Sus scrofa: one gene and its partners. The protein of the gene in region 2 binds, or shares a complex with, the protein of the main gene of each other region. Links are inferred from orthologs where the notes say so. Each region holds a gene or a part of one and is shown on either strand. Other genes may lie near its edges. The genes, in order: TGFB3, TGFBR1, GDF11 and TGFB1.

Region 1 (8,197 bases), on a different chromosome or scaffold from region 2:
TTAACCCACCATGCCGGCCAGGGATGGAACCGAGCCTCAGGAGTGACCTGGGCCGTGCGGAGACAGCAATGGATCCTTAACCTGCTGTGCCACCATGGGAACTCCTGAATTTTTCCATTTCTTGTGAGCTCTATTAAACAATAATCAGTATCAGGGCTGCAAAGAACAAAGAGCTTTATTGGAGGGCTATCTTAAGAATTGTTGGGAGACAGATTCTGGTAAAATCAAGAGTGTTCCAGGGAAAAGAAAGAGTCAGGGGCTTACAAAAGGCAAAAGTCATGAGGCTGTTCTCTGCTACTACGAGAAAGGAAATGTTTGTCCTTAAGGAATCACGAGTTACTTCCGAGTAAGGGTCTGATAAGTAGATAGGCTGTCACGAGTTATTGTAAGGTAGGGGTCTGATAAGTATCTTGAGTTTCTGGCAGATCTTCTGGATGCCTTCATTAGGACAATAAGTGGTCAAAAGGTCAGATTTTATCCAGGCTGAGACTTACATAATTCACACTCCCCCAGTGACCTTTTAGTTCCATTGTAGAGAGCTTTCTTAGCAAGAGCGACTCTATTTCTTTCTTTCTTTCTTTTCTTTACTTTTTTTTTTTCTTTTTATTTGCATTTTAGGACTGCACCTGAAGCATATGGAATTTCCCAGGCTAGGGGTTGAATTTGAGCTGTAGCTGCCAGCCTACACCACAGCCACAGCAACACGGGACCCAGGCTGCATCTGCAACCTACACCACAGCTCAGGGCAATGCCAGATCCCCGACCCACAGAACCAGGCCAGGATCGAACCTGCATCCTCATGGATACTAGTTGGATTCATTTTTACTGCACCCCAACGGGAACGCCTGAGACTCCATTTCTATCTTCTTCCACAGCTGCACCATCACCACCTTGGGGCCACTTTCCAAGCCTTCACTCCTACTTCTTCCCTGACTTCCTGAAAGCAAGAGGTGCTCACTGTGTGCAGAAAGAGGCCCTGGAGTAGTGTCTTCCAAACCTTGCACTGACTCACCTGCAAAGTTTGCTAAAAACAGATGTGAACTCTGATTTGCTAGAAGTGGAGCCCAGGCGGGTATAACTTCAACAATTTTCCCTCCTGTTTTGCAAGTATTTATTTAAAGGCCTCCACAAGGCCTTCTCAGATTTTAAACTGCAACATTTCCCCAACCTAGGCACTTCCTCTCCTCCTTCCCTGCTTTATTCTCCACCATGGCATGGACCTTTTACCATTATTACACTGCTTACACATTTATTTCATTTATTGCCTTCCCATTGCCCCACCTCCACCTCGAGAATATAAAGTCCATAAGGGAATGGCTTTGTTTCATTCACTGCTGCATCCACCGAGCCAGGAACAGGGCCTGGCATATAGTAGATATCAAAATATTTCTCAAATGAGAGCTGAATTCCAGAGGCAGTATAGCATAGAGTAGTTAAGTGCATAGATTAACTGGCCACAGATTTCCTGGGTCCACATCTCAGTGTTGACGCTCACTAACTATATGACCTAAAGTCATTCAAAATAATTTACTCTAGAAAAAAAAGTTGTTTTAATTTTTTAAAGTTTTATTGAAGTACAGTTGATTTACAATGCGATCATTTCTGCTGTAAAAAGCAAGTTACTTTAAGCTTTCTGCATCTAGGAATATTTCCCAAACCTGAAAGCCCTTGTTAAATATTACCACCACCACTCACCAGCGGTGTACGCTCGAAAATCGGTCCGTGCCTCCGTTTCCTCAGCTTAAATTGATCAGCCACTGCCCTGGGGAGGCTGAGAGCATCCCTTCAGTTAGCGGCCTAGGAACCAGGAGCAGAACAGGCCCTCGCAGGAAGGGTCAGGAAGGCTGGGGCGAGGCGGGATGGGGTGGCGGCGGGCAGCAGCACTGATTCCCAGGAAAGTGATCAATTCAGAGACATTCCTGAGTTGGCGGGGCGGGGGCAGGCGTTGTGGCTTGCCCTCCCTACGTTTTTGATGGGAAAAGACCTAGAAGCTTAGGCTGAGAAAAGGAACGAAAGTGGAGAGAAAACCTCCCCTCACCCATCTGGGAAATGGGCTCGGGCCAACTGCTGACTTTGCGCTCGCTGGCGCAGCTCCCCGCGGAACCCTCGGCGGGGAGGGAGGCCAGCAACATCTGGAGGACATTTCTGCGAGAGCCGCTGCAGAAGGGGCTCCGGGAAGGGAGAGGTGCACTTGTACGCACCTCGGGCCGGGAGGGAGCCTGTTCCCCAGGGCACCTGATCTTGTTTTCTGCACCCTCCTTCGCGGCCCCATCTCCCCAGGCCCCCAGCCTTACCCCCAAACCCTCCCGACCCCGGGGGAGCCCCCGTCACTGGCGGCCTCGCCTCGCCAGAGGGCACCCTCGATCTGCCGGAAAACGCCACCATTTTTCAATGCCCCTGGAGCGTCGCCAAGCTTCCGCGAGCCACCCGACTCCAATCTTGTCAATGAAGAATCGGGGCCAGCATCGCCGCGGAGCTGAACCCAACTCCAACCCCGCTCCCAGGCCGGGCGTCACCCCCACCGAGGGTGGGCACGGCCGCCCCTCCCACGCCCCGCGCCCCTCTCCCCCCGCCCCGTCCCTGCCTACGTCCCGCCAGGCCGGGGGGCGGCCGGGGACGCGGGGCCTGGGAGGGATCGAGAGACCGGCCGAGGAGGGGACGGACTGACAGCTGGCGAGAGGGCGAAGGAGTCGGGGGGGAGAAGGAGGGAGGGGATTCATCGGAGTAACTTTCCAGAAAAACAGTCAACGTGTAGCAGGAGTGACTCCAAGAGGGGAAAAAAAGTTCAGTTACCACGTCGATCGAGAGGACTCGCAAAGTATTTTTCAAACGGGCTCGGCTTTTCCTGTGCCTGTTTAAAACATTAAAATCGTGCAGCAAAAGAGGCTGCGTGAACTGGTCCCTCCCCCCCAATCCCCCACCTCCTTTGCCCCCCCCCCCGCCCCCGGGCCAGAAACGTCATGGGAGGGAGGTATAAAATTTCAGCAGAGAGAAATAGAGAAAGCAGTGTGTGTGCATGTGAGTGTGTGAGAGAGAGGGAGAGGGAGAGGGAAGCTAGAGGGAGAGAAAGGGAGGGAACCAGAAAGCCAAGTCCAAGGGAATGAGCAAGAGAGGAGGCGAGAGATAGGGGAAGAAGCATGAGAAAGAAGGAGTAACAGCTTTCCGGAGGAGGCATGCAGTGAACCAACCGGCTTCTGTTTTATTCTTCTTTTCCTTTTTATTTTTATTTTTTAAGAAGCAGGGACCAGAAGCAATGGCCGAGGGAGAAGACAAGCCGAGGTGCTGGTGACCTGGGCGTCCAAGTGGATTATTGGGGCTACTCTCCAGGGGCTGTCCCCTTGCATTCCAATTGCACATAAGCCCGCATCCCAGCCAATGAAGATGAGAGGCAGCATGAACAAAGTCATTTAGAAAGCCCCCGAGGAAGTGTAAACAAAAGAGAAAGCATGAATGGTGTGCCCGAGAGACAAGTGTGTCCTGCGCTGCCCCCACCTTTAGCTGGGCCAGCAGCAGCCTAGCCCTGCCTCTCCCCACCTACTCACTGGGATCCGACTTTTTAAAAAAAAAATTTTTTTTCTTTGCTTTTCCATCCTCTTTTCTTATTCTCCTTCAGGGCAACGCAAAGATTTTGATTTTTGGGACCCAGCCATGGTCCTTCTGCTCCCTCTTTAAAATACCCACTTTCTCCCCATCGCCAAGCGGCGTTTGGCAATATCAGATATCCGCTCTATTTATTTTTACCTAAGGAAAAACTCCAGCTCCCTTCCCACTCCCAGCTGCCTTGCCACCCCTCCCAGCCCTCTGCTTGCCCTCCACCTGGCCTGCTGGGAGTCAGAGCCCAGCAGAACCTGTTTAGACACATGGAGAAGAAACCCAGAGCTTCAAGGCACACAGTCGGCTTCTTCGTGCTCAGGGTTGCCAGCGCTTCCTGGAAGTCCTGAAGCTCTCGCAGTGCAGTGAGTTCATGCACCTTCTTGCCAAGCCTCAGTCTTCGGGATCTAGGGAGGCCGCCTGGTTTTCCTCCCTCCTTCTGCACGTCGGCTGGGGTCTCCTCCTCACCAGGCCTCGCAGCCCCCGGGCCTCTCTCCCCGGCTCACGCATGAAGATGCACTTGCAAAGGGCTCTGGTGGTCCTGGCCCTGCTGAACTTTGCCACGGTCAGCCTCTCCATGTCCACTTGCACCACCTTGGACTTCGACCACATCAAGAGGAAGAGGGTGGAAGCCATTAGGGGACAGATCTTGAGCAAACTCAGGCTCACCAGTCCCCCCGATCCATCGATGTTGGCCAACATCCCCACCCAGGTCCTGGACCTTTACAACAGCACCCGGGAGCTGCTGGAGGAGGTGCACGGGGAGAGGGGAGACGACTGCACTCAGGAAAACACCGAGTCGGAGTACTATGCCAAGGAAATCTATAAATTCGACATGATCCAGGGGCTGGAGGAGCACAGTGAGTCCAAATTCCCGCTGGGGTGTCTGCTCTGGAGGGTCTGACCGGGAGTAGGGCGCTCCACAGAGGGGGGCCTGGCGGTGGCCACACAGCGGGGTGCCCAGGGTTCGAGGCCCCAGGGCTCCGGAGGTATGATGCGCAGCCAGAGGGCTGGGGAGGTGGGTGGGAAGAGGCAGAGGGACCTTCCTGGTAAGAGCTGGGTGCTGCTGGGAGGCCGGGAGCCCTGCAGTTGAGCGGCCTGCTAAACTCCCATCCCATCATTGACCGATTTTAATTCGGAGGGATGTGGTGCTGTCGCGTTAACACATGCGCTGTGGCATATGGGTCAGATAGGTATCTGTGAGCCTGTGGATGCCGCAGAGGGACCGGGCTGCTCTCTCCTAAGAGAGCCCTTGCAGTTCTATGAGGCTGGGGACCTCGGTCTGCCCCCTGCTTTTCACACCTCATTGTGACACGTCTCACGCTCGGTTTGTCCACAGCTGGGGACAAAGAGTATACTTGCCCCAAATTAATGCCTGTCCAGTTTTTTGAAGCCCAGGCAAGAGACAGCTTCTAGCTGTCTAGGCCTTTCAGTCCACGCGACACATGTGACCCACGTGAGCTGTGTGGGGGAAGGGGATGCACCTCTGTTCACGTGTACATGTGCTTTCAAGCGATGTGGAGCTCTGGCTTTGCACAGAAGACTGATTCATGTGTGCAGTATGGGCGTCTTCCAGGCCTGTGGACATGGAGAAAGCAGGGATGTGGCTCTGGATGTGTAGACGACGCTGGCAGCCCTTTTGTGTCTGCGTGTCAGGGAAGAGTGGGTGGGAAGTGTGGCTGTGGGTGCAGAGGGGACGTGTGTCTGGGAGTGTGTCTTCCCAGGAGGCTCCCGTCTGTGCTGCGAAGCTGGGCGGCTTCTGGGTGAGACGTCTGTGTGTGTTTGTACACGTGTGGAAGTCATGTGTGTTTACTGAACGGGGATTTAAAAAACCTCAATACAAGAAAGAGAGATTTGGCAGATGCTGAGAAACTGACAGCCCAGGAAGGAGGAATGTGAGCCACTCACGGGCCAGGGACTCTGGGAACAGCTCTGTTTGCTTTTCCTACCAGCAGGTGTCCTTGATGCCCAGGCTACCTCAGCCTTGGCTCACCTGGGAGGTGGGCAGTGCCTGGAATAGGGGTGGGAGAGTTGGACGGAGCAGGCAAGGTGCGTGTGGTCGGCAGGGGAAGTGCAGGGTCAAAAGGAACCTGCCTGGAGAGGAGGAGGAGTGGGCAGCCGGGGGGTGGACCAGCCCTGGCAGAAGGTGCCAGAGGCCTCACTGGGAGCGCCGGGCCCAGGAGCGTGTAGTTACCGGCGAGGGGCTCCTGATCCGATTTCCTATGGCTGCCTTCGATGTAGCTCCTGTGTGGGGTGGAGGCCGGAGAATGAGGCACAGCTCGTGTGCTCCCTTCCCGGGTCCTCTAGGCGGGGCTGGCTGGGGGTCTGACGGGGGTGGGGGTGGGGGTGGCTTATGGTTAGCAATTGAAGAGCTGAACCCGCAAACCCTTGGGAACACAAAAGCGGGAGATAGTGGCCTAAGGTTGGAGGAGGGTTGAAAGCTGACGCCTTCGGGAGAGGTATGAGGAGGGTCCAGGGCCAGAGGGAAGGACCTTAATGATCCGGGTCAGGAGGCGGAGTCCTGGGGAGGAGGGGTTCTGAGTCACCAGGGCCCATACAGCCTGGCATCTCAAGCTGAGACAGATGCAAGGGCACACAGGTGCCAGTGGACGTTTGTATAAAGACTCAGAGTACAGTTAGAGGACAGCCTTGTGGAAACCAGGGAAGGGCTGCACCGATGCTGGGCAGCACCATGGCTGCAGCACCAGGACCTTCCTTGAAACTGTAGTAGGTGGGGGCAGCCCAGAGCCGCCATCGGGCCAGAAGGAAACTTGGCACAGTGGGCAGGATGCTACTGGGATGTCATGGCGGGTCCAAGGCCCCACGGACCACGGGGGGTGCCAGTGAGGCTTGCAGGTGCAAACAGGAAGCAGGCCCAGACGCTGCAGCTGCTGGAGGTGACACAGAGTCTGAGCAGACGCAGGCCGGGCCCGCCCTGCAGCTGGCCAGGTGCTGAGCCAGCCCCAGAGAGGCGGACGCACAAGGCGCAGTAATTATAAAGAAGGCCTGGTGCAAACGTCCCACAGATGCTGAGCGGGAGCAGACAGCCATCATCCAAGGCCTGGGCGCGGGGGCCTGTCTGGAACACACGAGGGCGGGCTGGGGTCTGTGGTGGGGCACGGGCAGGGTCTGAGTGCCAGAGCTGCCGCTGCCGCCCAGGTGATGAGGTCACATTCTCTTCTTCATCTCATCATTCCCAGCCCCCTCTGGTGCCAAGTAGACAGGCTCTCACAAGGAAGTGACAGCAAGGGCCAGGGCAAGGAGACGGGGTTCCTGGACAGCCCAGTGCTAGAAGGAATAACTTCTGGTGGCACAGGAGAAAGAGCACCCAGGTGAGAGCAAAGAGGACGAGACCCATTCTCTGGCTCTGTCCTGTCCAGACAGGTAACCTCATCTCCCCATTTTACAGATGAGGAGCCTGCAGCGTGCATCAGTTAAATAATTTGCCCCAAAGAACCGGGACTGTAACCTAGACATTCTGTCTACAGCATGCATGCTGTTAAGGTGAGATGTGGGACTTCTCCTGTGGCTCACGGCCTAACTACTCAGCATTGTCTTTGCAACCGCCCTGCTTCGATCCCTGGCCCAGGAACATCTGTATGCCGCCATGCAGCCACATGTTTTTTTAAAAAAGATGCAGATGTATGAAACACACATTTTAAATCCCACCTTTAATCTTTAGGCTCCAAGAGCACTTTGGTTTACAATGGGAATGACTCCACAGGTTGGGCCAAGCAGGTGGGCCTAGGAGCTGCTACGTTGGTAACCTGGTGGCAGATTGCATAGGGATCCCTGGGGGTGTTCTTTCTTTGCTCTTTCTATTTTTATGTAGCCGGGAGATTGTGGCATTTTATGCCACAAAAATGTTCTCCTAAATTCGACAGAAGGGTTTTCTGGGTTTTCTTCATCTGCTGAAGAATTTCAAGCAGGTTAAGCAACTACACCATGTGGAATTGAGCAAGTCCTCTCTCTGTCCCTCAGTTTCCTTATCTGTAAAGTTAGAGATAATCTCTAAACTCGTTTTCAGCCTAAACAATTCTATGTATATCTCTGGGGCGATTCAACAGGTCTCTGCTGGGGAGTGAAGGCAAGCCTCATATTTACCTTACTCTCCCGTGTAAGTCTCCAGGATTTTGCTCTGGGAAGTTGGTAGAGGCTTTCTCCGACCCACGTGGTGGGGCAGGACACAGCTATTTCAGTTCTTTTGTCATCCTTGTTATTACCATATCACTAGTGTAGGTGTTGTTTTAACTTGTGGCTTGTAATTATCCATGTCTGGTGGCAGACTCTTGTTTTCATCCAAGGTTTGGTGCTGAGATAATGAGCAAAACCAGAGTTCATGAGCAAAGAGAAAACTTGATATTTTAGCATTCTTTGCTGGATGCTACCTTTACCTCTTGTTCATTCTGAAAATTAAAAGAGGTTTCATATTGAAAGAACTCACCTGTTCTAAGTGCTAACGCCCTCTGCGAACTAGGCCAGGGCTAAGGATATGTGAAAAATGTGGATTCCCAGGCCCCAGCCCACCCTTACAAAATCAGAATCTCTGGGAGGTGTTGTCTTGGGAAATCTGAATTTTTAACAAGCTCCCTATTGATTTTTAAGT
Region 2 (7,487 bases):
CATAATAAAAATGTTTGGGGTTAGGGGAGATTTACCACCAACGGAACATCGTCGAGCTATTTCCCAGAATACTAAGCCCATTGCATAGATGTCAGCACGTTTGAAGGATTCAAAGTGTTTCATATTTATGGAATCATCTAGAACTTCAGGGGCCATGTACCTAAAAAAGAAGTCAGCATTTTATTTTATGGAATAGTGACATTACTTTTAAACTATTGCATAAATTTTTACTCCTGAAAGGGGGGAGGGTAATCAATATTAACTTTGACCTTTCCCCCCTTTCAGCAATTCTGCTGGGGTTGTTGTTGATGTTGTTTTTTTGTCTTTTTAGGGTTGCACCCACGGCATATGGAGGTTCCCAGGCTAGCAGTATCGGAGCTGTAGCTGCTGGCCTATGCCACAGCCACACCAGATCCGAGCCACGTCTGTGACCTACACCACAGCTCACGGCAATGCTGGATCCTTAACCCACTGAACAAAGCCAGGGATCGAACCTGTGTCCTCATGGTTACTAGTCAGATACTCATTTCTGCTGAGCCACGATGGGAACTCCCGCTGGTGGTTTTGTTTTTTTTTTTTTTTTTTAATGCCTACTACTACTTACAGAAATGTTCCCAAAGTACGTAAAGTACAAAGTGGAGAAAATCATTCCATTACTGCCACACATATTAAGATTTTAACACTCCTTTTGGACATCTCTTTATACACAGACATATACAGACTATATTACAATAGATCATATTAGACTCAAAAAATATTAAATATCTGTACTGGTTTGCAAATTAATGATGTCAACTAAATCTCATGAAAAGCTGAAACAGCAATTTCATGCTGTCTGCCTTTAAGATCTTTGTTTCCAATGAAGGACACACATGTAACAACTGACTATCATAAACATTCCAATGTACACCACCTACTTTGTCATGTACTATGCAGGGATTATGTATTTTAATCCAGAAGTCTTCTCACTAAAACAGGATAAAAAGAAGGACAAGGACATACTCCAGGGAACGAAATAAATAAAAATGAATGCCAGCCAGCCCTCCTACTGACACCAAATTTTAGGGTTCTGAGGTTTCAAAAATTCTACTAAGGTTACAGATTAGGACCCAGGAAGACCTGTAGCAACCACTGTCCTGGAACTGTGAGTCAACAGTTCTGAGAGCCCTGTTGAATCCATAAATGATAAATACAGTTGAGATAGAATAAAGGTTGGCTCTATTCAAGTGCAAAGTAGTAGTTTGAAGCTACGATGTGGCAAATGCTGTGATACACAGAGTAAATCCTTTTGGGTCAGAAAGGCCCAGGTTCAACTCTCAGTTTTGCAGCTTACCATCCATGAGGGTGGCCCCATTACTTAACCTCCATGAGATGGTTTCCTCATCTGTGAATTGAGGGTAGTGACACCTGCCTACCTATGTTCTTTGAGTACTCATAGATTCAACAAATATTTACTGAAGACCTACAATGTATTAGGCACTGTGATGGATGCTGGGAATACAAGACTGCTCTCAAGCAGCTTATGGTCCAATTGGATATTCAGACGAATAAATGGACAGCTGTAATGTGCCAAGTGCCTCAATAGTCCAAGTTCAGCATATTATGAGAGTCCTTGGCAAGGACAACCTAACAGTCCAGAAAAGGATTCCTATGAGAAAGGAAGATTAAGTACAAGTTAGAGAAACAGGAGGAGAAAGTCTGCTCTAGGATACAGCACATGTTAAAGTTAAAAGAGAGAAAGACACGTTTTCAGGAAATAAAAATGTGAATACAGTTTGACTACAGTACAGTATTTGAGGAAAGCATTAAATGAGATTATATAAAAAACCCATTACAATGATTGGTACAGAGCAGGTACCCTATAAATATTAGCTATTATATGATAACAGAACTAGTGGTAATACTTTCTGCAAGGGCACCATTCATCAGCAGGTACCATTTTAAGTCAGGTAACTTTGCCTTCAGAGCAGGCAAGACCATGAGATGTAGTTCTACCTGTGGGCAATCTAATGAAGTACAAGGCTGAGTTTCAGAAAGATAAGTATATAGGAATAAGAAGGAAAAGAAGTTGATTTAAGAACATTACAGTGTATCCATAAGTGTACCTTTTTGTTCCCACTCTGTGGTTTGGAGCAATATCAATTGTATCTGTGGCTGAATCATGTCTTACTGCCAGTCCTAAGTCTGCAATACAGCAAGTTCCATTCTTTTTTACCAAGATATTCTTTGATTTCAAATCTCTATGAGCAATAGCTGGTTTTCCTAATGAAGAAGAAAAAAAATCAGACATGGTTGCATAAAGGGTAATACCAATCACAAATCTCAACTTGGGTCCAAAAGCCTCTCCTCCAAACTCACTATCAACGCATTTTGGCCTCCATCACTCACAATAACTGAGCCATTACTAAACAACCTAAAGTGAATCATTACACAAAAAGTTGCTGAAGTTAATTCCTTTAAAGAAAGCAGAGAAAATAAGATGCTCTAAAATATGATGCTCAAAAAATGGAACTCTAACACTTAAAGACGGGGGGGGGGTTAAAGATATTAATTTGTTTGTTGACACCCTCTGAATTTTTTAGAGGAACCCTAGTAACTGATTTTCAAATCCAACAACCAAGAATCTAGATCACTTCCTTTGCCAATCAACTAGAATGTACCTTTAATACTAGCCTCTAGGAGTGCTATTAAAATATAATTATAATGTGGAAAATCTGGAACCCTCATATGCTGCTGGTGGGATTTAAAAGGGTACAGGCACCTTTGGAAAAAAAGTTTGGCAGAGTTACTATCTGATTCAGTAATTCCACTCCCAGGTGTATGTCCAAGAGAAATGAAAACATATATCCACACAAAAACTTATACACCAAAGTTCATAGCAATATTATTCACAATAGCTCAAAGTGGAAAAATAATCCAAATGCCCATCAACTGATGAATGGACACCCAAAATGTGGTATATCCATAAAAAATGGTACTGATAAATGCCACAACATGGATGAACCCTGAAAATATATACCAAGAGAAAGAAGCAAGTCACAAAAGACAACTTAGTGTATGATTCCACTTATATGAAATGTCCAGAATAAGCAAATCTATAGAGATGGAAAGTAGATTTAAAGGTTGCCTCAAGCTAAAGAAATGGGGAGAAATAGAGTTCTTTTTGAGGCAATGAAAATGTTTTAAAATTGACTGTAGTGATAGCTGCACAACTCTGTGAATATACTAAAAACCATTGAATTATACAGTAAATGGGTAAATTGTATGGTATGTGAATTATAACTCAAAAATAAAAAATCAACAATAAAAATTACAAAGACAGGGCTGGCTGAAATAGTAAAACAGCATACGTGATGTGTGTAGTAATGTAGGGGGTGGGAGCCATCAATAGCAAGTGGATGATCATTAAAGCAGAAAATGTAACTGGTATCTGATATTATGGCACAAACATAGCATAAAAATTTTATAACCAAAACTTAGTATTCAATTTTTCAACTACAAAACTGTCCCATGCAGTCTTCTTATCATAAGGTCAAATATAATTACTAGGTGGTCAGATAAAATTTCTAGCATGTTGATGTTTACCGAGCATTTTCATATTTCATTTAATACTACATATAAATTGAATTCCAAAATCAAGATCCTCAGACACAAACATTATATGCTATTACTTGTATGTGGAATCCAAAAAGAGGATACAATGAACTTACTTGCAGAAGGGAAACAGATTCACAGACTTCGAAATATTTATGGTTACAGGGGACAGGCTGCAGGGGGAGTGGGGAGAATGGACTGGGGATTGGGGATGGAAATGTTCTAAAATTAGGTTGTAATTGATGGTTGTACAATTAAGAATAAAATTCATTGAATTAAATCAAGATCCTCAAAAATCATAAGCAAGACTATACAATCTTAAGACACAAAAATATCAGTGTTGTTACAATACCTAAAGAATCTCTCAACAAAATCCCAGATTCCTAACTTTTTTTTTTTTGTCTTTTGTCTTTTTTGAGGGCCACACCCACAGCATATGGAGGTTCCCAGGCTAGGGGTCTAATCGGAGCTGTAGCTGCCAGCCTATGCCACAGCTCATAGCAACACCAGATCCTTAACCCACTGAGCGAGGCCAGGAACCTCACAACCTCACGGTTCCTAGTCGGATTCGTTTCCTCTGTGCCACGATGGGAACTCCTAGATTCCTAACTCTTAAGATTTAACAGAAAGACTATTCTCCAAGTCCATGATTTTCTTTTCTGTGGAAAGGTTCATTTGTGCTGTATATTAGATTGCAGATATAAGTGATATTATGTGATATTTGTCTTTCTCTTTCTGACTTACTTCACTCAGTATTCTCATCTAAAAACTCAGTTTAAACATCTCCCATTAGACTGACTTCTTGCAAAACTTTTCCAAGTGGACATCAGATCCAAGGACATTTAAAGCTTAATAACAAGACTGCTTTGACTTACCTTGGGTACCAACTATCTCCATGTGAAGATGGGCAAGTCCACTTGCTGTGGACAGAGCAAGTTTTATCATTCCTTCCACAGTAACTGTGTATCTATTCAAGTAATCAAAAAGGGATCCATGTTCATGATAATCTGACACCAACCAAAGCTGAGTCCATGTACCATTATCTGTAAGTAGAATAACAATACTTCAGATGGGTTTAGAACATTTATGATGTATTAAAAGTTCTCACTTTCCCTCTCAATCCTGAACCACACGACTGCAGTATGTTGGTACCTTAAATCTGTATATATTTCCTTCATATTTTCAGTTTGTCTCATACTTTTATGTACATATCCTTTAGATCCTTAAAGTAAGCCCCCTATTCTTGTGATTAAGATAACTAATCCCATTCAAGAGAGAAAGAATCATAGTTCAAAGATGGTGACTTTAAGTCTACACAGATAGTAGCGAAGCTGCCTAGAAGAATGCCTGGTTCAGGTTAGGTGCTCAGTGGTTGTTCTGGAAGGAGGAAGGGAAATGAGAAAGGGGGGCGGGGCGAGGGGAGAAGATGAGAAGTATCTGGAACCTAGTGTGGCCGCAATGGGAATGGAATATTATGGGACAAACTGAAAGTGAGCTTAAATGAGAAATTCAAACTTTAATGACAGACTATGTATACAGTTCACAGAAAAGCCAGACAAGACGATTATGATTCCAAGGTTTCCAGGTTAGAAAAGTATAAAAATAATGGTGTCACTGACACATGAGAAAGCTAGGACAGGAAATGAAAATGTTGAGAGGAGAAAAAGCTGGGACTGAATCCAGTTTACACAAGGTGATTTTGAACCTCAACAACCTAGGAATCTGAGTTCTTCCAAAAATTCATTTGAAAGCTAATACATGAATCTGAATTGTATTTTCCCACGAGAATCACGGTAAATATTCTGGTTGGGCTTCTAGCCTAGGCTGGTCCATAAAAGCCTAAGTTAACCTAGAAGTAGCTAGAAAACCATATATTTCACAAACTCATGAGAGCAAAAAAAGTATTACAACAATACTAGTAGATAGGACAATTCAGTAAAAGACACACATTTAGAGTCATTCTGACCAGGGTTGGAATCCAGGGTGTGGTTATTACTATGTGACCTTGGACAAGTTTCTTAACTTTTGAGCCTTTGTTTCTTCTTTTACACAACAAGAATAGCTTACTTTTCAAGACAAAGATTTTAAAATAGGATGTTTTAAAGCATTTAGTGTAACTCATGGCACATAAGAACTTAAAATGTGCTATTTCCTTCTCTATTGGCTGTACAACAGAAAAAACTCTCAAATGACATAAAAAATTTTCTATATTTTGAAGGTTGTTACTTGAAGGAAAGTGATTCTGATTAGAAGAGATTAAGGAAGGAAATGTTTTCAGAAGATTCTGGAGGTATTTTCAAAAGAATTTAGATATTCGGGATACTAGTTCTTTATAAACTTGTTACTTGATAAATTATTATAAACTGATTCTGTCCAAACTTGTACCTTTTCTTTTCCTTAATACAGGTACATCACTAGCTTCATCTGCATGCTTACTTTTATTTCTTTTTTTAAAGTTTTATTGACATACAATTGAGTGTGGTATGCATGCTTTTTAACTATACCTGAATTCTGAAAGGTTCACAAATACAAGAAATAAATAGGAACATAGTCAGATGGAAGAATGGGAGATTTTCCTGAGGTAACTGACAAAAGCGGTAGAAGGAAAAAGGATATATTAGAAGCTATACACACATAAAGGATTGTCTGAGGTGGAATTAACTAAATCAGGAAGAGAAAGTTAAAGGAAAAGGGAATGGAGGTGGTGGGGCTAGATTCTAGGCAAAGTCCCTTAACCTTGACCAAGAAGAAAGGTGTGGGTAGGGAAGAGCCAGCAGGGTTGCCAGTTCCCACGGTGACCACCAGATGACAGCACCGGCTTGGCTGCTGCTTGAGCAAAAGGGAAGAGTTCAGGGCACAGCAGTCAGTGTGTTTACAACTTGGAACAAGCCTAAACAGTGTTGGGGCTGGTGAGGGTTGAGCCTCAAAATGCAGATTTGAAAGTCACCACCACCATGGAGTTCAAAACCAGAAATGTGGGCAAGTTCTTCGAGGGAGCAATTATTATTTGTAGAATTAAAGCCTTCATATGAATTAAGAGTTTCAGAAAGCAGCTATTAAGAAATAACGTCTAGAGTTACAGAACATAATAAAGGGTTGTTTTAAGGGCTGAGAGAGAAGCCAAACTGTGTTAAAGACAGAAGAAAATGAAAACTAAGGACTTGGTCAGACTATGATCACTGCTTTTATTTATTTTTAAATTAAATAACACAAATTGGTAGTAGCTATTAATAATCACTGCTTACATACATCACCAGCCATAAGTCACAAAAAGGAGATAATCTAATATGCCTTCTGATGTGATAACGATAGAAAGTATATAATATGTAGAAAGTATATAATATTTTCAGGAAACCAATAAAACAGATTCAATCTCTAATTCTAACTACCAGTTTACATTGTATACAAGGAGCAAGTTCAAAGATATAAGATTTTTCAGTTAACAAGTCTACAATATGATAAGCCTTATAGAACAAACAATCCGGTTTCTTCAATGAATAAATTGCAAGAAGAAAAAAAAAAAAGAAAAAAATCCTAACAATTTTTAAGGATTTAAGTTAAGTATCATCCTAAAGTGAAAAATGAATTTTTTTTTTTAAAGAAGACTAGAGAAATGTTGAAAATAACTAGATACTTGATGGCATTTTAAAAAATGACAATGGTATCCAACAATTCCACTCCTGGGCATATATCTGAACCAAACCATAATTCAAAAAGATACATGCACCCTTATGTTCACTGAGGCACTATTCACAATAACCAAGTCATGGAAACAACATAATGTCCACCAACAGAGGAATGGATTAAGAAGAGGTGGGATATATATATATATATATATATATATATATATATATATATATCTATATATAATGGAATACTACTTAGCCATTAAA
Region 3 (6,467 bases), on a different chromosome or scaffold from region 2:
CCAAGATCAAGAGACACGGGCATTTGGCCTTGGAGGAGGCATCTTCTGATCTTCACTTCTCTGTTCCTCTCCTTCCACCAAGGAAATATGAATGGTGTTGATGGTCAGGTGGGTCTTGGTTTTCCAAGATTGGGGCAGAAGGAAAGATGAAGAACAGGGCCAGAGAGGAGAGGCTGGGGGGTTAGCTTAGCTGCTATGTGGGAGGAGGCGAGTTGAAATGTTTAACAGCCCTTGCCCATTCCTGTACCAAAATAACCTCATCTCACTTCTTCACTATGGGAATGGGAATAAGATGCCAAAACTCACCAACATCACCCTTCCAAGGGTGGCCACATACCTTTTCCCCTTCCACCAGCTGGGCCAGGCGGGAAAGTCATGCTCTTGTGAAGAACCAACCTTGCAGATCAGCTCTCCAACTTGGGCTTTACTTTAGTTCAGCACTGTTTGCATCAGACCCATAACTGCTGGCTCTACTTAGAGTGACAGTTTTGCTGAAGGTTCTTTTCCCCTCCTCTCCTGACATCCTCTAGGCTCTAGTCTGGAACCAAGAGGTCTGGTGGTGAGGTATGGATAGGGTATGGGTCAGGAGATTCTCAACTCCTTGGCTTCAGGCACTGTCCAGCTGGGAGGGAGGCAGAGGGGAACTTGTACTCTGAAGCCTGTGACTCCTCAGCCTCACATCTCTTCACCACTACTCTGGTGCCCTGGTTATCTGTCCCACAGCGAGAGGTATTTTATGTCCATAAAGTGCCCGTGGTAAGTGCTCAGAATTCATCTCTTGGCTGTGGCGGGTGCTGCTATTTCTCATTCCATAGAGGGGAAGAAACCGAGGCACAGTGCGTCCCGAGGAGGGTGGGTCAGGATTGTGGAGGAATGAATAGGCCCAGCTAGTGACTTGGAGTGGCAACCAGTACCTGCCTGCTTCCTAGCTTTCCAAACCAGGGAGTCTCCATCCTTCCTGTCCTCTGCTCTAACTGGCCTTGTCAGATGCTTTCCCCCACTTTATTGTCCCCTCCCTGCTGCCAGGTACTGCTAGGTTCCAAAAATAAAAGATAAAAATAATTATAGACACTCTGCTCCCTTGTTCTCTCTCCTTCCACCCTGAGCTTTGGGGTTGGGGGACTAAAATGTCCCCCCTCCAGAATCCCTTCCACCTTGGTCTGCTGGCTTTCCTCCCTAGCCCAGAGCAGTGATTTGGATTCAAACGCCCTGTAACCTTCAGCCTCCTTACAACTCCTTTCTTGACCTCTCCTAACCCTTCCCAGACCTGGGGACTCTGGGCTCTCTCTATTCTTCTTTTTATTAACCTGAAGACAGAGGCTGGGAGCAGAGGCATTCCACAGGCTCTTTGGTCTCTCTCTTGGCTGGGGGGATTTTGAGCATAAGCAGGCCACACCTTTGCCTAAATAAGTCAGTACAGTGAGGGTAGACCTGAGGGTTAGTTTAGTGGCTCTCATATAGATCCTGGATGTTGAGCGCCCTCCCCCACACCCCCAAGCTTCTAAACCCTAACCTCTCACTGTCTCTGCAATTGCTGGAATTCAGTTCAACCCGTTTGGCTCAGGAAGGTTAAGTAGGGTGATTTGGGGTTGGAAACTTCCATGTGTCAGCCCTCTTGCCCTCTACTCCCGTTCTCAACCCTGGAGGCTTTTAAACAAGTGCTTAAGTAGGTGGGTATTGAGGGAGGACAGGGTTTGGGGAATAAGGGACAAATGGGGCACAGTGGGCAGGGGCCCTTCTATTTCAGTAAAGCCAAATACCAAAAAATGAAAAGTCATAATAAATAAATAAATAAAGTTCCAAAATCCTCACGTTTGCCCCTGCCCTTACTTCCCTTCCCCTAGCCACTGCTGGAGGGAGAAAGGGAAGAAGCTAAGAATGGGTCTGGATTTCCTCTCCTACTGAGAATGGTAGTCAGGGGGGAATCTCCCCAGACCGTACCAAGCCCCTCACCTTGCCACTGGAAGAAAGGAGGCTTGGTGTGGGGCTTTCTCTTAATATTCCATTTCGGTCTCTTCATTGTTTATCTCTGCCTAGTCTCTGTCTCTTCTGCATCTCTATTCCTTTGCCTTCTCGCTGCTGCTTTTTGTTCCTCCGTCTCTATCCCTCTGCTCTACTCTGTCTCTACATCTCTCAGTCTTCTTGCCAAACCTTCTCACCTCAGACCTCACACACTCCCCACCTGACCATGCCCCCTCCTCTTCCCCCTTTCCCTCAAACCCCTCACCCCTCAATCCCCCACCTGCCTCCCTCTGTTGTATTGCACACTGCTTGGGCAGGGAACAAGGTGTGATGTTCATCAGAAGAGGTGGAGGGAGCTTTAGGGCCTGGGGGAGGGGGTCAAAGCTGGGGGTCTAGGGGTAGGGTCTGTGGGGGGGGGCATCCTCTGTCCCCGACCTTAGGAGCAGCCACAGCGATCCACCACCATGCCAGGGATCTTGCCGTAGATAATTTGCTGCTTGTCATTGAAGTAGAGCATGTTGATTGGGGACATCTTGGTGGGGGTACAGCAGGGCCCAGCAGAGCCTCTTGGATTAGCCTGTTGCACCAAGTGGGTGTGCGGGTACTTTTGCATGAACATGTACTCGCACTGGCCAGAGCAGTAGTTGGCCTTGTAGCGTTTAGGTGCGATGATCCAGTCCCAGCCAAATGCCTCAAAGTCCACTGTGAGGGGATATCGGCAGCAGCGGGACTCACTTGAGTGCTCATCGCAGTCCAGACCCAGGTTCCGCCGAGACCGTTTTGTGTTCTCTAGGACTCGAAGCTCCATGAAAGGATGCTGGGGTGAGGGAGAGAAGAAAGACATGTGAGAGAGCCCTGAAGAGCTCCCACTCCCTGCTCTTTTGTCACCTGCCCCTCAACAGGGGATCGGAACAGAGATTATTGATTTCTCAGCTTCTCCATTGCTCCCATCCCCAAGCCCTGCCTTCTGCCCACTTTTCTTGCCAGCTAGCCATCTCTCCTCAACTCACCTTGCCGAATTCTCCCTCTCCTGGCAACCTGGCCCTCATCCTTAGCTCAAAGTCTTAACAATAGCCCACCTTTGTCTCATGAATTTGTTCACCTTCACCCAAATCCAGTTTTCAGCCGTTACCTGCCTTGGGTCTCTGAAAAGTGATAGCACCCCATTACCACCACCTAACTCTATTGAGTCAGCTCCAGACCCTCAACACAACACCCTTTGCATTCCTGGTCTACCTTTTCCAACATCCCACTTCCTCAGGGCCAGGTTATACATATCTGCCAACGTCTCAGGCTTCCTGCTCACCAGTCCCTCAGCTCCCGGCCCCAGGGAGGTGACAGCCAGGTCTGTGCCACTGGGATCAAAGGCGTTGATCTCGATGCCCCAGTTGCTCTGTGGCTGGCGGAACCAGCTGTGTAGCACTTGCTTGAAGTCGATGCTTTGCCAGTGGCCAGAGCGCGAGTGCAGGTCAATTTTGAGAGAGCGGATACGGATGTGACGCCGGCCTCCGCCCCCTCCCCCTGCTGTCCCTTCCCCAGTTAGGGGTTTCAGTCGCAAGATCTGCAGGTAGACTGTGGCTGGGCGGGGCACAGGCCGTAGATACACCCACAGCTGGGCCTTCAGTACTTTTGTGAACATCACCTTGGGGCTGAAGTGGAAATGGCAGCAGAGAGGGCTGCCATCTGTCTGCACTGCAGGGTCCGCTGATAAGAGAGAAGGGGGCACAGCATCAGCAAAAGGTGTTTGTGGAGGGCGTCAGCAGCCTTGGGGGGTGTCGGCAACTTGGACTCCTCAGCCCGTGTTACCTTTCTCCTCTGCTTTCTTGTTAACTACCATGTCACCGGAGCCTAGAATAGCACCCTGCTCCCCCAGTAGGATGATGGCTCTGTTGGGCCTTACGGGATCTGCACCCCTTCCTTAATCTGTTTGCCCTAATGCACAGGTTCCCCTCTACCAGATAGCCTGCAAAGATAGTTATTAGAGAACTCTTCCACCCTGCTGTCTTCCCTTTCTCCAACTTTGCCCAGCAAATAGGGCTCCAACTTGTTCTGAATCTTTGATGCTCTCCATAGGAGGCAAACCTGCTATCACACCTGCTGTCCTCAGGTTACCTTTCCCCATTTCTGCTCTGTTTTGTCTGGTGGCCAGGTGGAGCCTGGCACAGGCCCCCCAAAACAGATGGCCTCAAAGAATGGATAACCCAAGGTCCAGATAGGGAGCATGGACTAAATTCATTCCTTGAAGTAAATCAGCAGTCAGATCTAGGCTTCTCACATCGTTCCCACCAGAAATAACACACCCAGAAGAATGGTACTACTCAAGCAAGCCCCATGCATCTTGACTCCAACATCCCTTGACCCTGAGAACATGTTCCCTCAGCTGCTTCCTCATCACCATTTTGTTGTCTCCACTTTTTTTTTTTTTTTTTTTGTCTTTTTTGTTGTTGTTGTTGTTGCTATTTCTTGGGCCGCTCCCGCGGCATATGGAGGTTCCCAGGCTAGGGGTTGAATTGGAGCTGTAGCCACCAGCCTACGCCAGAGCCACAGCAATGTGGGATCCGAGCCGCGTCTGCAACCTACACCACAGCTCACGGCAACGCCGGATCGTTAACCCACTGAGCAAGGGCAGGGACCGAACCCACAACCTCATGGTTCCTAGTCTGATTCATTAACCACTGCGCCACGACGGGAACTCCCTGTCTCCACTTTTAAGGAAAGGAAAAACTACCTCCATGTATTCTTTCTCCTACTTTCCCAAACCATCAGAAATAATATTCAACACACCAAATCAAATGTAATCAGTCTTCTTTTCTCCCCTGGGCTTCCTTCAGTTTCTCAGTCCAGCGCCAGTAAGCCTTTACAAAGATTTAATATCCCAACTTTACATTTTGGCCCACTGCCCCTTGTTCTGGACCCTACACTGACCCTTCTTGTGTTTAAAGAATGAATTCTCTATCTGCCTCTGCTTCCACTAGAGCTCCTCTCAGTTTCCCTTTCTAATCTCTTATGTCAGTTGAGAATGCCTTAAATCATGTTTCTATTGGACAGGAATATCCATCCCCACTCTAAATATACTCTGAGAGGAAGAATCAGGAACTAGCTCCCAGAGCCATGTAAGGATGATGAGAAAGTTTAGGTCCTTATGTATCACGACCACGTCTGCATGATCATGGAGAAGTTATCATTTGTTGTCTGCCATCAGCATCCATCCCACACTCCCACCCTAGGAGAAGGAGGATACTTCAAGTGAGATGAGGAGGAAAGTGCCTAGTGATCTTCATATATTCAGGACACGAGACACAAAATTCTTTTGCAGCTTTCCTTCCCTTGGTTCTTCTCCAAGGTCCCAGGGCACTGGTAGTCCTCCCAGGTAATCTCCTGCTGGAGCTGCAGTGATGGTGCAATGGGACAGGGTTTGGGGAGTGGAGATTCAGGGATAGGAGAGTCCCTGGGGCTGCTGGTGAGATGGAGAGTGACAAGCAGCAACTGAAATAGCATACTAAGCCTAATTTCAGCATAGGGTCTATCTGATTTTCCTGCCTGTCTTCACCATTAGGTACAAATTTCTTTTTTTGTGTTTGTTTTGTCTTTTGTCTTTTTTAGGGCCGCACCCTTGGCATATGGAGATTCCCAGGCTAGGGGTCTAATCAGAGCTGTAGCTGCCGGCCTACCCTACAGCCATAGCACTGTGGGATCCGAGCCACATCTGCAAACTATACCACAGCTCACAGCAATGCCAGATCCTTAACCCACTGAGCAAGGCCAGGGATCAAACCTGCATCCTCATGGATGCTAGTCAGATTCGTTTCCACTGAGCCACGATGGGAACTCCATTAGGTACTAATTTGCATGAGGGTAGACACTGTCCATACTGTTGCCCACAGTACCAGGCAGTGCTCAATAAATCCATGTTGAATGAACTCCCTAAACTCTCGATCTTAAATTATATAGGCAAGTGCCTGAAGTTCTTCTTGGCATCTAAACACTGTTCTTTGACTAAACTGAAGTGGATTTAATCACTGCCTGACTCATTAACCAGTATCTGACCTTACTTTCCAGACTTCTCGGTGATACAGATGGTAATCCTTGCTTCATAGGAGTGCTGAACATTAAATAAAGAATATGAAAATAGTAGTAGTTTCTCAATTGGTTTATTGTTAGTTCTCTAAACTCCAAACACATGTCCCTACCTAAGCTGACCCAAGGCCTAGAAATGGGGGACTGGTCTCCAGGGCCCCATCCCTCTAAGTCTTTGGTTCCTTCAGGCAGAGTTCCCCATCCTCACCACCAGGAATCACCTTACACTTCTCCCCAGTGGATATGAAGACAGTTGGTACTACAAAGGGACAGGACGGAGACATGTGGAGAAAGAAAAGGGAAAGGAGAAGAAACGTGGGAGAGACTAGAGATAGGAAAATAAGAATAGAGGAATTCCCATCGTGGCACAGGAGAAATGAATCTGACTAGGAACCATGAGCATGCAGGTCCGATCCCTGGCCTTGCTC
Region 4 (7,487 bases), on a different chromosome or scaffold from region 2:
ATTCGCGGCCAGATTCTGTCCAAGCTTCGGCTCGCCAGCCCCCCGAGCCAGGGGGACGTGCCGCCCGGCCCGCTGCCTGAGGCCGTACTGGCTCTTTACAACAGTACCCGCGACCGGGTAGCCGGGGAAAGTGTCGAACCGGAGCCCGAGCCAGAGGCGGACTACTACGCCAAGGAGGTCACCCGCGTGCTAATGGTGGAAAGCGGCAACCGTGAGCTCAGAAGGGCCGGGGATCCTGGAGGGGAGCCCCCAGGGGGCGCCGGAGTGCAGGGGTCACGGGGAGGAAATTACCCTAGAGGAAACTGGCCGGAGGAAGAGGACCCGGGGGTGCCGGGAACGCGTTGGCGGGGGGGGGGGTCCCAAAGAAGATAGGGCTGAGCTCCCTATGTCCCAGATACCTAGTCTTGAAGAGGAGATAGCGAAGTGGACCGCTTTTAGAGAGCGACAGGAACATGTGGGATCGTGGGGGGAGTCCATTAGAGGGAGAGAAGCGAAGCAGTTGCAGGGGGAGTAGAAAAGCACTTCCCCTTGCAGGGTGCAATAAAATGAGGGGTCGTGGGGTAGGGGCTGCAGAGAGGGAGCCTGATTCGGAAAAATCGAGGACCCCAGAATTTGGGAAAGGAGAAAGAGTGGGTAAGCGGACCCAGAGCTTAGGGGTCGTGTGGCAGGAAGATCCAAGAAAGACAGAAAAACTAGGTGAAACGAACCCCGGAGGTGCCAAAGAAGTGGAGAGTGGACCCACTTGCACAGGGCTAGAGGAGAGTACGAAGGATCTGGGGAGGGCTCAGAGAGAGAGGCGGGGAGGGGTGATACATGCGGGGAAAAAAGGGGGGCGCGATGTCGTAGGGTGGAGGAAGCTAGCGGGAAAGTAGACCCCAGTTGGAGTGCCAGGGATGCGCGGAGAGGCGCCCTGAGTATTTCGCACACGGACTTGAGAGAAGGAAGCCCGGCGGAGGAAGCGGGGCCCCAGGAAACCTAGAATACTGGGTCGTGGGAAGGGGTTTATAGAGCGGCGAGACAAGCGTGGGAAAGGTGGACCTGGGAGGAGGCAGAGGAGAGAAGGACCGTGCCATGCTGGGAGCAGCGAGCGACTCCCATGTCCCCGGGATGGAAGGCAGAAGGCTGAGTGAGCAGTCGAGCCATAGGGGGAGAGGTGGGTGGGTGCGACTCTACAAGATCGGGGTAAGAAAACCGAACTGGTATGGGTGAGGAAGCCCCACGTGGGTGCCACGCGCGGGGGGAGGAGCCTGCGCTTCCGGAAGGGGGCAGGAGGACTACGTAGAGCTAGACGCGGAGAGCCAGGACCCCAAACTCTTAGTTCCTCTCTGGGAGGCTGGGGAAACCCCAGCGTCCGGCCGCCTCGCCCTCCCTCCCCTCCCTTTCCTTCCCGTGCCTGGTGGCGGGGGGTGGGGGGGGGATCGCGCGCGGAGCCCGAGGCGAGACGAGACAGGTCCGGTCCCCGCCCTCGCGCCGGCGGCGCCTCCCGCCCTCTTCACCCCCAGCTCTGGGCGGGGCTACCGCTGGGCCGGCCCCTCGAGCACCCGCGCGGGGACCCAGGCGTCCCGCGTGGCCCGGAGGCTTGGGGGCGCCCCCTCCGCCTTCGCTTTCTTCCTTGGCCGTGTAGTTGTGGGTCTCTGGCCCATTTGTGCGCCCAGTTGCGACTTCAGCCAAATGACGCCTCTACCTACTCGCATCTCTGTGTCACCTTTTCCGTCCTGGTCGCCTCACTTACGTTGTAGAGATTTTTTCAGCACTGACACCTTCAATCCCTTTATGCCTCCATCTGGTCTCTGAACTCTACGTCTCTCTTCCTGTGTGTCTCTATCGCCCATCTTTGCCTTTCCATCTCTCCCGTCGTGCTCTGTCACTGTCTGAATCTTCTAGTTTCTGCCTCGCCACCTCTTCTTTCTCTTTTTCTTCTCCATACCCCAATCTCCAGCTCTCCCCTCTGACCGTTCCTGGCCCTTCTATCTCTCTTCCTCCCTGTTTGTCTCCCCGCTTGTGCTCTACCCTCCCTTTGGGGTCTGCTGAGTAACCCCTGGGCCAAGATAGGGCTTATTTGGCGGGTGAGGGGGGGGTGACTGGCCTGGCTAGACAAGGACTAGTAGGGGAAGGAGGCCCCCAGAAGGGGCTTCCTCTGTCCTTTCTCATCAGATGTCTCCAGCATGTCCCCCACCCCCCATGCACAGGCGGAAAGCAACTTCCCCAGTTGACCAGGCCTTCATGGCTGGCCTCCTCATTCCCAGCCCCCAACTTTTTCTAGATTAGAAGACACTCTTCCTAATTTTCTCTGTTCCCTTTCCTCTGCCCTTGAAGCCATTCCTACCTAGAATGAACTTTGCCATCTCTATCCAGCTGAGGGAGGAAGCAATTATTAGTAATAACAATAACAAGAGTAAGGTCATATTAGCAGGGAGGCAGCATAGTCTAGGGGTTAACAGAGTCTCTGGAATCAGACTGCCTGAGTTGGAATCTCCATTCTGCAGTTTCCTAGCTGTGTGGTCTTGGGGCAAGTTGCTTCATCTCTTTGTGCCTCAGTTTCCTCACCTATAAAATGGGTATAATAACAGTATCTTCGTCATGGGGTTGTTGAACACACACATTGGTGTGACCACAGTATGCAGTCTCTTTGCGACATGCTTTATCTGCCATCATCTCACTTATTTCACACTGTCATCCTGCAGTCAGTCCTTGCCTTACAGGGGAGAATCTGGCACAGAGAGAGGAGACCAAAGGTACACAGTGCTTCAGTTAGGAGAGCCTGGGTTGAGAAGCAGAGAACTTGATGTCAAGTTGATCTTTCCTAAAGAATAGGAAACTGGAGTTCCCGTCGTGGCACAGTGGTTAACGAATCTGACTAGGAACCATGAGGTTGAGGTTCGGTCCCTGCCCTTGCTCAGTGGGTTAAGGATCCGGCGTTGCCGTGAGCTGTGGTGTAGGTTGCAGACGCGGCTCGGATCCTGCGTTGCTGTGGCTCTGGCGTAGGCCGGTGGCTACAGCTCCGATTCAACCCCTAGCCTGGGAACCTCCATATGCCGCGGGAACGGCCCAAGAAATAGCAACAACAACAACAACAAAAGACAAAAAAAAAAAAAAAAAAAATGAATAGGAAACTGAGGCGCCAAGAGGGAATGTGACTTGCTCAAAGTCACAGAAGGCAGTAGAGGCACACAGTCTGATCCAAATGCCCTCAATCCCTATGCAATGTAACTTGCATTTGGGGAGTTCAGTGGCTTGGCAGTTTAAGAAACTGACTAGTAGCCATGAAGATGCGGGTTTGACCCCTGGCCTTGCTCAGTGGATTAAGGATCTGGCATTGCCACGATCTGCGGCTCCCTCTGGCATTGCTGTGGCTGTGGCGTAGACCGGCAGCTGCAGCTCTGATTCAACCCCTAGCCCAGGAACTTCTGACCCTAAGAAAGAAAAAGAGAGAAAAAAAACCCATAACTTGCATTGGCGGCTGTAAGTGCTGGGGAGGCCTGAGTAAGCAGAGCAGCCCCCACCCCGGTGCCAGCCTCGTACTGAGGGCACACTTCCTGCATGGTGGGAGGGGAAGGTGGATGAGACCTCGATTAAAGAGGAAGAAACAAACCCAGAGAGAAGCCCGGTGCCCAAGGTCGCACAGCTAAAAAGCGTCTGGTGGGGGGGCTCCAACCCAGTTCTGTCAGCCCTTAGACTTGGGGTGTGCCAACCCTCCTGTGCCTGTTAAGCCCTAACATCCCCCCTCTCCGCTCCTGCCTAGAAATCTATGATAAATTCAAGGGCACCCCCCACAGCTTATATATGCTGTTCAACACGTCGGAGCTCCGGGAAGCGGTGCCGGAACCTGTATTGCTCTCTCGGGCAGAGCTGCGCCTGCTGAGGCTCAAGTTAAAAGTGGAGCAGCACGTGGAGCTATACCAGGTGGGGGTCTGGGCCCCAAAGGTGGCCTGGGCTGGGGCAGTGCTGTGGTGGCTGGAAGGCTGGTGGCTACCGAGATCCACACAGATGGACCCCGAAGGATGGGGTGGTGGGCACAGACACAGTGCTTTCCGACACCTATAGCCTTTGGACGATAAACATTTAGAAGGCCTGAATCTTAGGAGTTGGACTCGAAGAACTCAGGACTCCTGAAAGTTGCAATCTCTGGAAAGGTTGGAGACTCAAAATGCTCTGTCCCACACAGCAGCCACTAGCCACGTATGGCCATTTAAGTTGTTCAAATGAAATGAAAGAGGGAGTTCCTGTTGTGGCTCAGCCGTAACAAACCTGACTAGTATCCATGAGGTTGCAGGTTTGATCCCTGGCCTCGCTCAGTGGGTTAAGGATCTAGCATTGCCGTGAGCTGTGGTGTAGGTCGCAGACGTGGCTCAGATCTGGCGATGCTGTGGTTGTGGGGTAGGCCAGCAGCTGCAGCTCTGATTAGACCCCTAGCCTGGGAGCTTCCATATGCTGCGGGTGCAGCCAAAAAAAAAAAAAAATTAAACGAGAGAAAAAATTCAGTTCCTCAGTCTCACTGACCGTATTTCAAGTGGCCCATAGTCACATGGGGTTAGTGGCTGCTATTTTGGACACCACAGATAAAGAACATTTCCATCAACACAGAAAGTTCTTTGGATAGCTCTGTTCTAGAAGATTTAGAGTCTCCAGGAAGATTGGGTCCTCCAGAAGGACTGGATTCTCTTGAAGGTCATGTGAGCCAGAATCCCTATCAGGTAGAATGTTCTATTCCATAGCAGGTGGTAGACTCTTTTCACAAGGAACTTTTAGTGTTAACTTCTTGGAGTCTAGAGAACCTGGCTTCGTGCTGCCGACTTCCAGGGGTCATTCCACAGGGAGGGCAGGCATCTGCAACATCTAGGTTGGTGACACGTCAGACTCCTGGGTTTGTAGAACTTTAGTCTCATAGAATTTCTCAGGCTGATTGAACAGGTAATTCCGGGGTGCTCCCCGAGGGCTGGAGTTATGGAATGACTTCTAACATAAGCCCCCAGAAACCCCTATAGACTTTTGGTGTTCGGGTGGCCAAATTTCCAGAACTGTATAGTTAATAACCCTCACGATGTCTGGAAGGAGAATCATAGCCTCGTGGGCTGTCCAGGCTGAAAGGGGCCTGGCATTTCACCAGTGGGGAAACCGAGGCCAAAGCGGGAGAGGGGTTTTCCAGGGCCATGCCTGAGGTCCAGGGTGGAGGCTGAGCTGCCCATGTGCCTTGACCCCAGCCTGGGGCTCTCCCTCCCCTGCGGGCTGCTCTGGGCCTGGGCAGTTACTGGGGGGCCTCTGTGTGGATGTCTTCGAGGGGGCTGTTGGAGGGCCGGTTTGGGGAGCGGGTGGAGGGAGGGCTGCAGTGGACATGGGGGTGAGTGGCGGCATCTACCCACTGTTTCCTCCCCAAATTCATCATCCTCCAGAAATACAGCAATGATTCCTGGCGCTACCTCAGCAACCGGCTGCTGGCCCCCAGTGACTCACCGGAGTGGCTGTCCTTTGATGTCACCGGAGTTGTGCGGCAGTGGCTGACCCGCAGAGGTGAGGACCGCTTGTCTGCCCCACCCCTATTTTGTAATAGCCTTGAGCCCATTGTTTGTCCTGGGATTGCCCTGCCTAGTACCCCCCACCCCATGTTGGTGCCAAAGAGCCCGGGCCTGGCCCTCTTCCCCAGACACTCAAACCTGAGTGATGAATGGTTAATCCGTTTCCTGAGCACCTGCCCTGTGCTGAGTGATGCTGCGGACACTGCAGTGACCCAAACCGCCCCATCCTTGCCCTCGTGGTAGGGTGAGGGGATTTGGGGAAAAAACCTAAAAAAGCTCCCTGGTGGCCTAGCTGTTAAGGATTCAGTGTTGTTGCTGCTGTGGTTCACGTTCAGTCCCTGGCCTGGGAACTTCTGCATGCTGTGGGTACGGTCCCAAAAAGTGAAAAATAAAAACCAGGTAGTAATGTCCCAGAGTTGGACAGGATTGGGATGGGGAGCTCAGAGGAGGGCCTCTGAGCCAGACCAGGAGGTCAGGGAGGGCTTCCTGGAGGAGGGGACATTGAAGTGGGTGTCTGGGGTTTGAGTGACCCAGCCTGGGGAGGAAGGAGGGACAAGAGTGATCAAGGCAGGAGTTCCCATTGTGGCTCAGTGGTGACAAACCCATCTAGTATCCATGAGGATGTGGGTTCGATCCCTGGCCTCGCTCAGTGGGTTAAGGATCTGGTGTTTCTGTGAGCTGTGGTGTAGATCACAGACATGGCTCAGATCCTGCATTGTTATGGCTCTGATGTAGGCTAGCAGCTGCGGCTCCAATTCGATCCCTAGCCTGAGAACCTCCATATGCCACAGGTGTGGCCCTGAAAAGAATAAAACAAAAACAGGAGTTCCCGTCGTGGCGCAGTGGTTAACGAATCCGACTAGGAACCATGAGGTTGCGGGTTCGGTCCCTGCCCTTGCTCAGTGGGTTAACGATCCGGCGTTGCCGTGAGCTGTGGTGTAGGTTGCAGACGCGGCTTGGATCCTGCGTTGCTGTGGCTCTGGCATAGGCCAGTGGCTACAGCTCCGATTGAACCCCTAGCCTGGGATCCTCCATATGTCGCGGGACCGGCCGAAAGAAATAGCAAAAAGACAAAAATAAATAAATAAATAAATAAATAAAATAAAACAAAAACAAACAAGAGTGTTTGAGGCAGAGGGAGAGGGTGTGCAGAGGCCTTGAGTCCAGGGAGAGCCTGACACGCCTGATCTGTCTGGAAGAGAACTGTGTCTGTCCCGTGCCGCCTGAGTCCACAGTGCTCAGGCCTCCCTTCCTAATCTCCCTTTCACTCATCCCTTCATTCAGTCAGTGCCAGCAGGTCCCTGCTCTGTGCCTGGCCCCGTGCTGGTGGTGTGGGGGTCACTCCGTCACCATCTCTAGGCTTGCCCTCATGGGACCCACAGCCACTTCTAGACACCTAGGAAGTCTTAGCAGAGCCCTGGCTGGCTGTGATGGCCCCAGTGATCAGGGCCAGGGGGAGGGAGGCTGTAAGTGCCGTGGGAGCCCAGAGTGGACACCCAGACCCATCCGGAGGGGTCCAGGAGGGCTTCCTGGGTGAGGAGGATTGTGTTGAGACTCATGGGAAAAGGGATGGTTTGACCAGATGAAAAGATGGCGGTGAGAGAGCAGGTGGGCACTGGGACGAATATCCTGGGCTGCTGGACAAAGGTCTTGGTCATTGCTGAATCCACAGCCCCCAACACTGTCTGGCACATAGTAGGAGCTTAGGAACGCATTCACTCATTCATTCAAGAAACCTTTCTCGGAGTTCTCTTGTGGCTCAGCGGTTAAGGACCAGTGTTGTCACTGCTGTTGTGGTAGCTCTGGTTACTGCTTTGGCGTGGGTTCGAGCCCTGGTCAGCCCTGGAACAAGAGCCTGGGCGCTTGTGTCCCAGCCCCGCCTTTTCCCACCTGGGGTGAGTTACCCCCACTTTGTGGGCCTTGGCCTCCTCATCTGTCTGGTGGGGAGCTCTGGTGAAAATCAAAGGAAAGAAT

Evidence for each region.
Region 1: the proteins of TGFBR1 (region 2) and TGFB3 are in contact, whole or in part, in a crystal structure (PDB 9B9F), measured with the Homo sapiens proteins. The link is inferred for Sus scrofa from reciprocal best matches to the Homo sapiens genes TGFBR1 and TGFB3. Residues at the interface, in NP_004603.1 of Homo sapiens: His39, Leu40, Thr42, Lys43, Phe55, Met70, Ile78, Phe84, Val85, Lys91; in NP_001316868.1 of Homo sapiens: Ala301, Leu302, Asp303, Asn305, Tyr306, Tyr350, Leu351, Ser353, Thr357, Thr360, Leu364, Leu368.
Region 3: the proteins of TGFBR1 (region 2) and GDF11 are in contact, whole or in part, in a crystal structure (PDB 6MAC), measured with the Homo sapiens proteins. The link is inferred for Sus scrofa from reciprocal best matches to the Homo sapiens genes TGFBR1 and GDF11. Residues at the interface, in NP_004603.1 of Homo sapiens: Ile78, Pro79, Asp81, Arg82, Phe84, Ala87, Pro88, Ser89, Ser90, Lys91; in NP_005802.1 of Homo sapiens: Phe322, Ala324, Phe325, Gly326, Trp327, Trp329, Ile330, Met382, Tyr384, Phe385, Asn386, Asp387, Ile392, Ile396, Pro397, Met399.
Region 4: the proteins of TGFBR1 (region 2) and TGFB1 are in contact, whole or in part, in a crystal structure (PDB 3KFD), measured with the Homo sapiens proteins. The link is inferred for Sus scrofa from reciprocal best matches to the Homo sapiens genes TGFBR1 and TGFB1. Residues at the interface, in NP_004603.1 of Homo sapiens: His39, Leu40, Thr42, Lys43, Phe55, Asn68, Met70, Ile78, Phe84, Val85; in NP_000651.3 of Homo sapiens: Ala279, Leu280, Asp281, Asn283, Tyr284, Tyr328, Ile329, Trp330, Gln335, Lys338.

Annotation. Positions count from the first base shown.
Region 1 is NC_010449.5:99,149,747-99,157,943, reverse strand, and holds the start of TGFB3 (transforming growth factor beta-3 precursor), read left to right. Parts: upstream 1-3,838; 5' UTR 3,839-3,964; coding exon of another isoform or gene 3,965-4,105; coding exon 4,106-4,451; intron 4,452-8,197. UniProt on the Homo sapiens protein: Transforming growth factor beta-3 proprotein: Precursor of the Latency-associated peptide (LAP) and Transforming growth factor beta-3 (TGF-beta-3) chains, which constitute the regulatory and active subunit of TGF-beta-3, respectively.
Region 2 is NC_010443.5:240,902,351-240,909,837, reverse strand, and holds part of TGFBR1 (TGF-beta receptor type-1), read right to left. Parts: intron 4,638-7,487; coding exon 4,470-4,637; intron 2,263-4,469; coding exon 2,106-2,262; intron 161-2,105; coding exon 36-160; intron 1-35. UniProt on the Homo sapiens protein: Transmembrane serine/threonine kinase forming with the TGF-beta type II serine/threonine kinase receptor, TGFBR2, the non-promiscuous receptor for the TGF-beta cytokines TGFB1, TGFB2 and TGFB3.
Region 3 is NC_010447.5:21,194,762-21,201,228, reverse strand, and holds the end of GDF11 (growth/differentiation factor 11), read right to left. Parts: intron 3,667-6,467; coding exon 3,199-3,666; intron 2,780-3,198; coding exon 2,706-2,779; downstream 1-2,705. UniProt on the Homo sapiens protein: Secreted signal that acts globally to regulate anterior/posterior axial patterning during development. May play critical roles in patterning both mesodermal and neural tissues. It is required for proper vertebral patterning and orofacial development.
Region 4 is NC_010448.4:49,340,568-49,348,054, reverse strand, and holds part of TGFB1 (transforming growth factor beta-1), read left to right. Parts: coding exon 1-211; intron 212-3,742; coding exon 3,743-3,903; intron 3,904-5,390; coding exon 5,391-5,508; intron 5,509-7,487. UniProt on the Homo sapiens protein: Transforming growth factor beta-1 proprotein: Precursor of the Latency-associated peptide (LAP) and Transforming growth factor beta-1 (TGF-beta-1) chains, which constitute the regulatory and active subunit of TGF-beta-1, respectively.